Oryzias latipes: one gene and its partner. The protein of the gene in region 1 binds, or shares a complex with, the protein of each later gene. Links are inferred from orthologs where the notes say so. Each region holds a gene or a part of one and is shown on either strand. Other genes may lie near its edges.

Evidence for each region.
Region 2: the proteins of prkaa2 (region 1) and prkag1 are in contact, whole or in part, in a crystal structure (PDB 6B1U), measured with the Homo sapiens proteins. The link is inferred for Oryzias latipes from reciprocal best matches to the Homo sapiens genes PRKAA2 and PRKAG1. Residues at the interface, in NP_006243.2 of Homo sapiens: Asp329, Asn330, Ile333, Met334, Ala337, Phe340, Tyr341, Leu342, His366, Pro367, Glu368, Arg369, Met370, Pro371, Pro372, Leu373, Ile374, Asn444, Val446, Thr447, Pro530, Arg531, Leu532, Gly533, Ser534, His535, Thr536, Met537, Asp538, Glu541; in NP_002724.1 of Homo sapiens: His36, Asp40, Leu41, Ile42, Pro43, Thr44, Ser45, Val50, Phe62, Leu64, Val65, Thr66, Gly68, Val69, Arg70, Trp75, Ser77, Lys78, Lys79, Gln80, Phe82, Pro158, Glu159, Ser160, Gly161, Asn162, Lys170, Arg171, Lys174, Phe175.

What each region holds. Positions count from the first base shown.
Region 1 is NC_019862.2:3,535,172-3,538,985, reverse strand, and holds part of prkaa2 (5'-AMP-activated protein kinase catalytic subunit alpha-2), read right to left. Parts: intron 2,285-3,814; coding exon 2,140-2,284; intron 1,519-2,139; coding exon 1,431-1,518; intron 1,290-1,430; coding exon 1,065-1,289; intron 333-1,064; coding exon 170-332; intron 4-169; coding exon 1-3. UniProt on the Homo sapiens protein: Catalytic subunit of AMP-activated protein kinase (AMPK), an energy sensor protein kinase that plays a key role in regulating cellular energy metabolism.
Region 2 is NC_019863.2:4,032,862-4,037,460, forward strand, and holds the start of prkag1 (5'-AMP-activated protein kinase subunit gamma-1), read left to right. Parts: upstream 1-1,675; 5' UTR 1,676-2,084; coding exon 2,085-2,153; intron 2,154-2,347; coding exon 2,348-2,399; intron 2,400-2,483; coding exon 2,484-2,584; intron 2,585-2,650; coding exon 2,651-2,732; intron 2,733-2,809; coding exon 2,810-2,868; intron 2,869-2,982; coding exon 2,983-3,028; intron 3,029-3,106; coding exon 3,107-3,161; intron 3,162-4,312; coding exon 4,313-4,439; intron 4,440-4,577; coding exon 4,578-4,599. UniProt on the Homo sapiens protein: AMP/ATP-binding subunit of AMP-activated protein kinase (AMPK), an energy sensor protein kinase that plays a key role in regulating cellular energy metabolism.

The DNA of each region.
Region 1 (3,814 bases):
ATCCTGTGTGAACAGGAGGAGGAGGAACAATGAAGACAAGATAAGACATTTCTTCAGATGTGACATCCTACAGCGTGCAACTGCAAGCATAAAATACTAGAAATGATGTCGGAGCTTTAGCTAAAGACTACTGTGAATTCTGAAAAACAGTCCTGATGTTTGTCAGTACCTGTGGATCTCCACTGTAGAGGCTGGACACCACTTCAGAGTCTGTGCATTCAAACTTCTCACACACTTCTCGAACAGCTTCCTCATCCAACACAGTGCAATCGTACGACGAGTCCTCCGGGAACAGGTAACCTGGCAGGTCCTGCTTAAACCAATCATGTTCCCTAACAAAGCACAAGAGGAACAGTCAGCTCAACCGCAATACCCTGTGTTACCCTACAGGGGAAAGAGCGGACAGCCCCGAGCCTCAGTCTGATGTTTCTGTGAGTTTATTAAATTATTATTTCTTGCTTTACTTCCAAAACCCCAAAGAACTGATCTTCTGTAGTGGCTGGAACAAAAGCAAACACAATAAGACAAACGTGGGAGCTTGAACGTTGGTCTTCACGACCCTCTGTCGTCCACAGCTCTATGAAAACAGGAAGACATTATTTTTTTAAAAGCAGCATTGCTGTAAGCCCAGAAATCCTTGGACTCATTACTTATTATCAGCAAATGTCCCACCGTTGGGATGAAGAGTTTGCATGACTATAATGACTGCAGTCGTAAAGAAACCTTTTTTGATTCCAGAGCTTGAAAAACTATTTCCAAGACTAAAGGATCAAATATCTTCATTGAACATTTTCAAAGCTCCAAGACGCCTGATATCCTAACTTTGAAAACAAAGTGACTGGAGGTGCCTGATCAGCTACAGAGTATGGATTGACCACCAATCTGTCTGCTTACTGAGATCATCTAAAGGTAATAATTTAGGTCATCTAGGCTTGAACGGAAATTCATTTGAATAATAGCTAAACTGTTGGTAATGCAGCAGCAACATCAATGTAGGCCAACCACAGAGTGCTTCAATCCACAGCAATGTGTGTTTCTGCAGAGCTCTGGACTGGGGTTAGTACCTGATGTCTTTGATGGTGGCTCTTTTCAGCGGATCCACCTGTAGCATGAGCATTAGCAGTGAGGCCACAGAGCGGGTCAGGTACTCTGGCATGTAAAAAACGCCTCCTCTGATCTTCTTAAACAGTGTGGGAACATGCTCATCGTCAAAGGGCAGGGTGCCACACAGCAGGGCGTACAGGATCACCCCGCAGCTCCAGATGTCCACCTCCGGGCCTGCGTACAGCCTGGAAGAGGTAACAGAAGGGGCAGTAGAACAGCATGAGTGCTGCAAGTAAAGAGTTCCCCTGATTTCTCACTAACAATGACAACTTTTAGCGTGAAAAGAACAACACCAACCACTGTTCTCCTTTTCTGCACGGACTCACCTTCCGGAGATGACCTCTGGAGCTGCATAGTTTGGTGAGCCGCAGCTTGTTCGCAGGAATTCCCCGTCTGACATCATGTTGGACAGTCCTGTTGGTCAATGACACATCACAACTTGCTTTTGTGTGATAAAAACTGTGGTGGATACTTTTCAACGTGATTTCAAGCCCTGCTGAGATCTTTATCCTCTTCAACCTGCCAAGACTCTAAGCTCTAGACATAAAGCCCTTCTAATTGGATGAGGCTGTCTTTCTGTTCCGGTTGCTGCCAAACATTAAACAGCAGCCAATCTGAGCCTCTCTGACCTTCACGTTATCTTTTCTTCCTCATCTCTTCCTTCTCTTTCTATCTGCTGCCTTTTTGCTCTCAGCCAAACACTTCTCCTGCAGCACTCCCCCTATTCATTTCCTATCAGATGACACTGGGCCTCAGGCTTCCTGCCAGACTTGATATGAGACCTACACATTACCAAGGGACGCCGCTTCACCCATAACACCCGCCAACTGAGCTCTTGTGTGCCTATGAAATTATTTTTCTCTTTCTTGGTCGGATTGCAGCAGGAATTTTGTTTTAAGAAGGAAACATAAATAAAACCCAAACCGATGAGTGAAACTTTATATTGATTTATTTTTTTACCCTTATAAGTACACCATGTTGCTTTCCACCCGAGGCAAGTAGCACACAGCTGAGGTTCATCTCTGGAAAACCTACCAAAGTCTGCAATTTTGGCATTTTTATTGGCATCAAGCAAGACGTTCTCAGGTTTGAGGTCTCTGTGCACCACCATGTGCCGGTGGCAGTAGTCCACGGCTGAAATGATCTGCTGGAAAAGACGCCGAGCTTCTGGGTCCTCCACCTTAAAGACACAATGTCAAGGAAGATGGTTACTGTGTGGTTTGGAGAGAATGTGCAACCCTACTGTTACCGTGGTGATACAGTGTTCCCTCGCTATATATAATCTATATTCACCTTTCACCGTCTCGCTGATAGTTTTCATTACAATTTTGCATGCCAACCCTAGTGCGCTGTGTTCTGACAAGGTTTAGAGCCAATCAGGACACAGAACACTGTGTACTAGGGCTGGCATGCAAACGCTAGTACACAGTGTTCTGTGTCCTGATTGGCTGTAGACCTTGTCAATCAATCTCCTCATGGCCGTGTCTCCTGTACAGAATGTGTTCAACCTTCCAAATCGACATAAATCTTTGATTGCAATCAGATCTATAATACTAGACTTTATCTTCTATGAAGATTTGAACTTTGAGAGTTTGAATAAGAGAGAAAAGTGTGAAAATGTTCATGTCTGTCTGACTAAAGCACATGTGTCAAACTCAAGGCCCGGGGCCAAATGTGGCCCTCCATGTCATTTTCTGTGGCCCGCGAGAGCATAAAAGTTTTCAAATTCTTAAAATAAAAATAAAAATTTGTTTGTGTTTATTCACATCTATGAGGAATTGGACTTGAAATAACGGATTGGGCAACTATACATTAGGACTTAAACACTGTCCATATAACCTAACCTGACAGAATCAAATGTAAAAGAATTTATGAAAGAGTAACAAGCAAACATGTTTTTTTTTCATTACATTTAGTGACATGTATAAGTCATATCTGGCCGTTTGAGGACAGCCGCTATGCTGATGTGGCCCTCAGTGAAAATGAGTTTGACACCTCTGGACTAAATTGTGGAAAGTGTTGTGAGGAGTTTTACTGACTGCAGTTCTACTTCACGGATTTCCCCTCTTGCGGGTTGTTTTAAGAACGTAAGCCCCACAATAAACGAGGAAACGCTGTATTAGGAGTCACTTCGGGAAAGTGCAGAGAACTATCAACAGGAAATGACCGTCACCTTCTCCATCTGTTTGGGTAAAGGGTCACCTCGGTACATAAATTAGAAATAGAAGCTGTTGTGAAGACGTCTTCAAATTTTGTTCTCAGGTATTTCTTACTTTAAGCTTTCGTGCATTTCATCTGTTTGCTTACGTCTTGTTCCACCCTGCTGTTCTGGATCTTCACTCTTGTTTTCCCATCCGGTGTTACAACCTCAGTGTAGTCTTTGATTTCAGATACAAATCCTTTTCGTCATGTTTTTGTTTTCTTGAGTTTTTTTGAAGCTGTCCTGTTTGAGCCCAGATTTTATTCATGCCTTTGTTTTTTTGTTTTATATTCTCAAGTTAATTTCCAACATGTGTGAATGTCTGTCATTTGGCCTCAACCACCAAGCTTTCATTTGAAATTTTTAGGACTTTCTTAGGTATAAATGTTGTGGAAATTCCGGTGTTTTGTCTGGTACTGTTGAAGCCCGGGAATTGCTCTGAAAGGCTGCAATAGGATGGGCTATAGTTGGGTTTTAACTGAGAACTTCTGAGAACCGAGACGTGATTAA
Region 2 (4,599 bases), on another chromosome or scaffold:
AGGAATTTGCTTTTCATTTTTTAGAAAAAGTGTAGTGTCATCTGCAAGTTGAGTAATAATTAGTTCTTTGTCAAAGAGATTGATGCCTTCTACTGCACTGGATTTAATGTGATCTGTTAACAGTTGAGAAACTAAAAGGAAAAGACATGGAGAAACAGGACAACCTTGCCTAATTCCTCTCTCTAGATTAAATCTGGGAGAGGTGCCACCTGCTAATTTAATAGAGCTGTTAAAAATTTGGTATAATGTAACAATAGCTGAACCAAAACCAATTTTTTTAAGACAATGCAAAATGAATTTATGTTCTACGGGCAGCTGTGGGAGTCCCAGCTAGACGCTGGTTTCCTGGTTTGGCCTTGGTGAGTGATCTTGACATGTGGACCTTTTTAGTAGGGATGGGAATAGAAGCCCCATTAAGCCTCATTGGGGTTCATGTAATTGTGCCAGAAAAATAAACCACCCAGTCAGGGCTTTGAAACCACACAGAGTGGTGTCCTGCTCCGGTGCTCCTCCTCTGTTTTGTGTTTTCTTTTAATCACTGTTGGGGTTGTGGTTTGTTTGTGTGTATTGCGGCCCTGAACAGGTACTCCTGATGAGGGTTTGGATTGGAGATCTCCCTTGGGGTTGTTGGTGGCTATCCACTGGTGCAGTGAGGCTGAGGAGTCCCTGGAGGCAGCCGCCCTCATGCAGTGTTGGAGCGCGGTCCAACTGTACGAGTATATTGTAACCTTCAATTTTATGGAACTTGTGTCAAGTTTTTAATCACATTGTATACTAACCACTACCAAATCCAGTCTCCATTTGGGGTGTAAATGTAAGGGCATTCGGTCACAAGTAACAAAAAAAAGAAAACAACCACTGCATGTTTTATTTTAAGATTGAGGACATAATTTATTCCAGAAATGTAAATGTGTTCTATAACCGGTCCTTGGGTCTTGGCGGGCCGCACAGAATAAATAACTGTCATCCGTTTGCTTTATTTCGGAATCTGAAAGATGTTTTATTTTGAAAAACTGCTCGATTCTGTTACACCGTCTATGTCACTTGGACGCAGGCCAAGGCGCTCTTCTCGGTCACGTGATGGGTTACCGCTAGAATAAAACCCAGGAGCTAACAAAAGGAGTAAAACAAACTCCTTTGGAAAGTTTATTTGCCAAGGGGAAAGGGGCCAGCCAGGAGGCAGAAGAGGAGCCTTCCACTTCCAAAAAAAAAGCTACATTTGATACAGTACTTCTCTTTTGCACCACGAGAGTGGGAAGGGGAGAGGATGAGACCTGTGCGGTGTACGACATGTCTGTCAAAATAAAAGCTTGGTGTTCGTAATGTTAATGTCTCCGTTCCTCCATAACTTGCCTACAAAAGTGGCCCGCCACATCTTAAAGACCGTGTAAGTTTTGAATGACGCCATACCGGTCCGCGGCGTTAAAAAGGTTGGGCTAGATTTGTTTGTGTACACTTCAGACACCGATTACAGCGACTTCGTTACTGCGCATGTCCAGCTCCTCTGGTCAGAGCGGAAATAGATTGGCGCGGCGTCCTGTCACCCCGGTCAAAAGGAGGCGAACGGGCAATGGAATATGGATTGTGTAAGTGATTGGCTCTGTTTATTTGGGCACATTTAAAAGCCTACTCACAATATGCTCCTAACTCATCATACAATCATTAAAGCCGACGTTGGAAACAGTGCTAGCGTTAGCTGCTAGCTACGAACTTATTTTTCACGTTTGTTTTCGATCTGTCGGTTGTGTGTTTAGAAATCTCCCTATCTGAGGATTCGGCCTCGGAAACGGTTTATTTACGGGTATTCAAACATGGATAAACGGGTTAAATTGTAGTAAGCATAATAAAGACATTCTTTAAAGTCTTTGAACCAATAATTAACTCGAGAGGGAAGGTAAATGACTGACACAGACAGACCGTTAGCTAACAAGCTAACACGTTAGTGTAGAGAAAACCAGTAACAAAGGCTCTTAAAGTACTTTCTGCATGTTTATAACCTGTAACCTCGTCTTAAAGTATATCTATTCATGAACATCTTCTCAGGAACTAGTTTGTTGTTTTGCGTGGCTTCTCCTGGTGGTTAAATGAACAACGTCGGACCAGTTTCGTCAACGGAAATTGTTTTTATTTTACAAACGGGTAAATTAACAAATGTAAGTATATATTTATTAAAAGAAACTTTGACATGGTGCAAAATACGCAGGTGTGTTTCAAATAATCATTAACATGTTCACTCCGGTTCTTTGGTTAATCCAGTTATTTGGTCAGCCATCCTAACCTATGATTTTGGTACAGTTGGTATATTTTAAACTGCTCTTTTTATTATTTTATGTAATTGTTTCCCCAGATTCCAGTAACTATTGATGATCTTGAGGGCAAGAAAGACCCCGTCATTGAAGGTAACAGACTTTTCTGTAGATCTTATGACTCTGACGTAGACTGACTGAGGTGTGTTTTCATTTTTGTTTTGATCAATTCTTCAGACTCCGAACACAATGCGTACACGAGGTTTATGAAGTCTCATCGCTGTTATGATCTTGTACCTACCAGCTCCAAGCTAGTTGTGTTTGACACATCACTTCAGGTAAGAGAAACCTTTTAATCCATCAGATGAACACTTGAACGTTGGTAACTGTCAATAATTGTGCAGGTGAAGAAGGCTTTCTTTGCTCTCGTGTCCAATGGGGTGAGAGCAGCACCTCTGTGGGACAGTAAGAAACAGTGCTTTGTCGGTAAGATTTGTTTTGTTTGTTGGATTTCAGTTCAGTGAATAAACATCTTTATAGCTCATGTTTTTTTTCCCCTACAGGAATGCTTACCATCACAGACTTTATCAACATTCTGCATCGCTACTACAAGTCACCATTGGTAAGATGGTTTAGTCCGCCAGTGGACGAAGCCTTCAAATGTCCAACTTCAGCTGCAAGACTTCTATGTTAGTTACAGTAGCTACTTTCTTTAATACTCTATTTACACTTTCAGGTTCAGATTTATGAACTAGAAGAACACAAGATTGAAACATGGAGAGGTAGGAATGGTTGGAACAAGTTTTGCTGCATAGTTATTCTTACGTTCACTGCAGTAAGATCTTTTATGTTTCCAATAGAACTGTACCTTCAAGACTCCTTCAAACCTCTGGTTAGCATTTCTCCCAATGCCAGGTGAGCAGCAGTAGCACTTTAAACCTTTGTGTTTTTTTTTTTTTTTTACTTTAAAGTCTTGATGAGTGGGCAAACAATGTCTTTTGTTTTTTTGCCTATATTATACTATCATCTTTTGATCTATTCTCAAAGCGTTCCCAGTGGTCTTTTAATTGTGACTATGCCATTTTTAGCCAAAGTCAACAAATCTTCTCTAGGACATAGTTTCTGTAGAGCGGCAGTAGTTCATTAGAAATTTGCCTATGATTTGTGGGTGGGACTGTTGGTGTGGAGCAACCCCGCCCCCCTTCCCCTCCTGGTCGCTGAGAGCTTGGAGCAGGGTGCTTGTGGCCGCCCGCCCAGGGTATTTTCAACGTCACACATACGATCTTTTCTATGCGTCGCTTTTTTTGTGTCTGCTCCTAATTCACAGCAAGTTGAATAAAGCAATACTCAGAATAGCAATTTTGAGCTTAAATTTGTCTTTATATGTGTCTTCAATCATGAGAAATGCCACAAGAACATGTTAAAAACATCAAAAACCCAATTTTCATTGGAGTGGGTCTTTAAGGTGGATCTACAGCTGAGGCGTTCTCATAGAAAATTGCTCATTTCTAAGCCTTTTCAGGGCCGGCATTGGGAATAGCACTGGTAATTGAATAGGTCATCTCCGGAACACTGATGGAATAGTTTGACATTATCTTACCCCAAAAGAGAAACTAGGAAATGGCTTGACATGTTTGTTCAGGGATTCCACTGTAATCTGCAAATGCCTGAAAGCAATAGGTTCTTGACTGGGCTCTGTACTGAACTATGTCAGAGTTTTTGAAAAGGTAATCTGGTAAATGGTAAATAGTGTATAATTGTATAGCGCCTTTCTTCCTACAAGGACAAAGCGCTTTACAGTCACAGACCCATTCATCCAGTCACACACACATTCACTCACACATTCACACACTGGTGGTGGATCTGTACCTTATTAACCCCCAAAAATGGAGCAATAATGACATGAAGCTATATTGGTGGCTGCTATTCCAAATTTCAGCTTACGGTGGGCTTGTTTTTCACACTTCAAAAGCTTTAGCTTTATACTTCTTTATGTTAGCATCTGTCATTTAAAAAAGTGCTGACCAAAAAGTCTACATAGAATCTCACAGGATTTTTTTCCATAGCTTGTATGATGCAGTGTCATCTCTACTGAGGAACAAGATTCACAGACTGCCAGTCATCGACCCCCTGACAGGGAACACCCTGTATATACTCACACACAAGAGGATTCTCAAGTTCTTGAAGCTGTTTGTGAGTTCCTCTGAGGTCGTCTTTACCCGAGTTTCACATTTTACAGCAGTAATCTACTGTGGGGCAACAACTCTTTTTGTTAGCCTGGCAGCATTTTTCCATTGTTTTCTTGGGATGGTTATAATCTGTTGTTTTCAGATATCAGAGATGCCCAGACCCT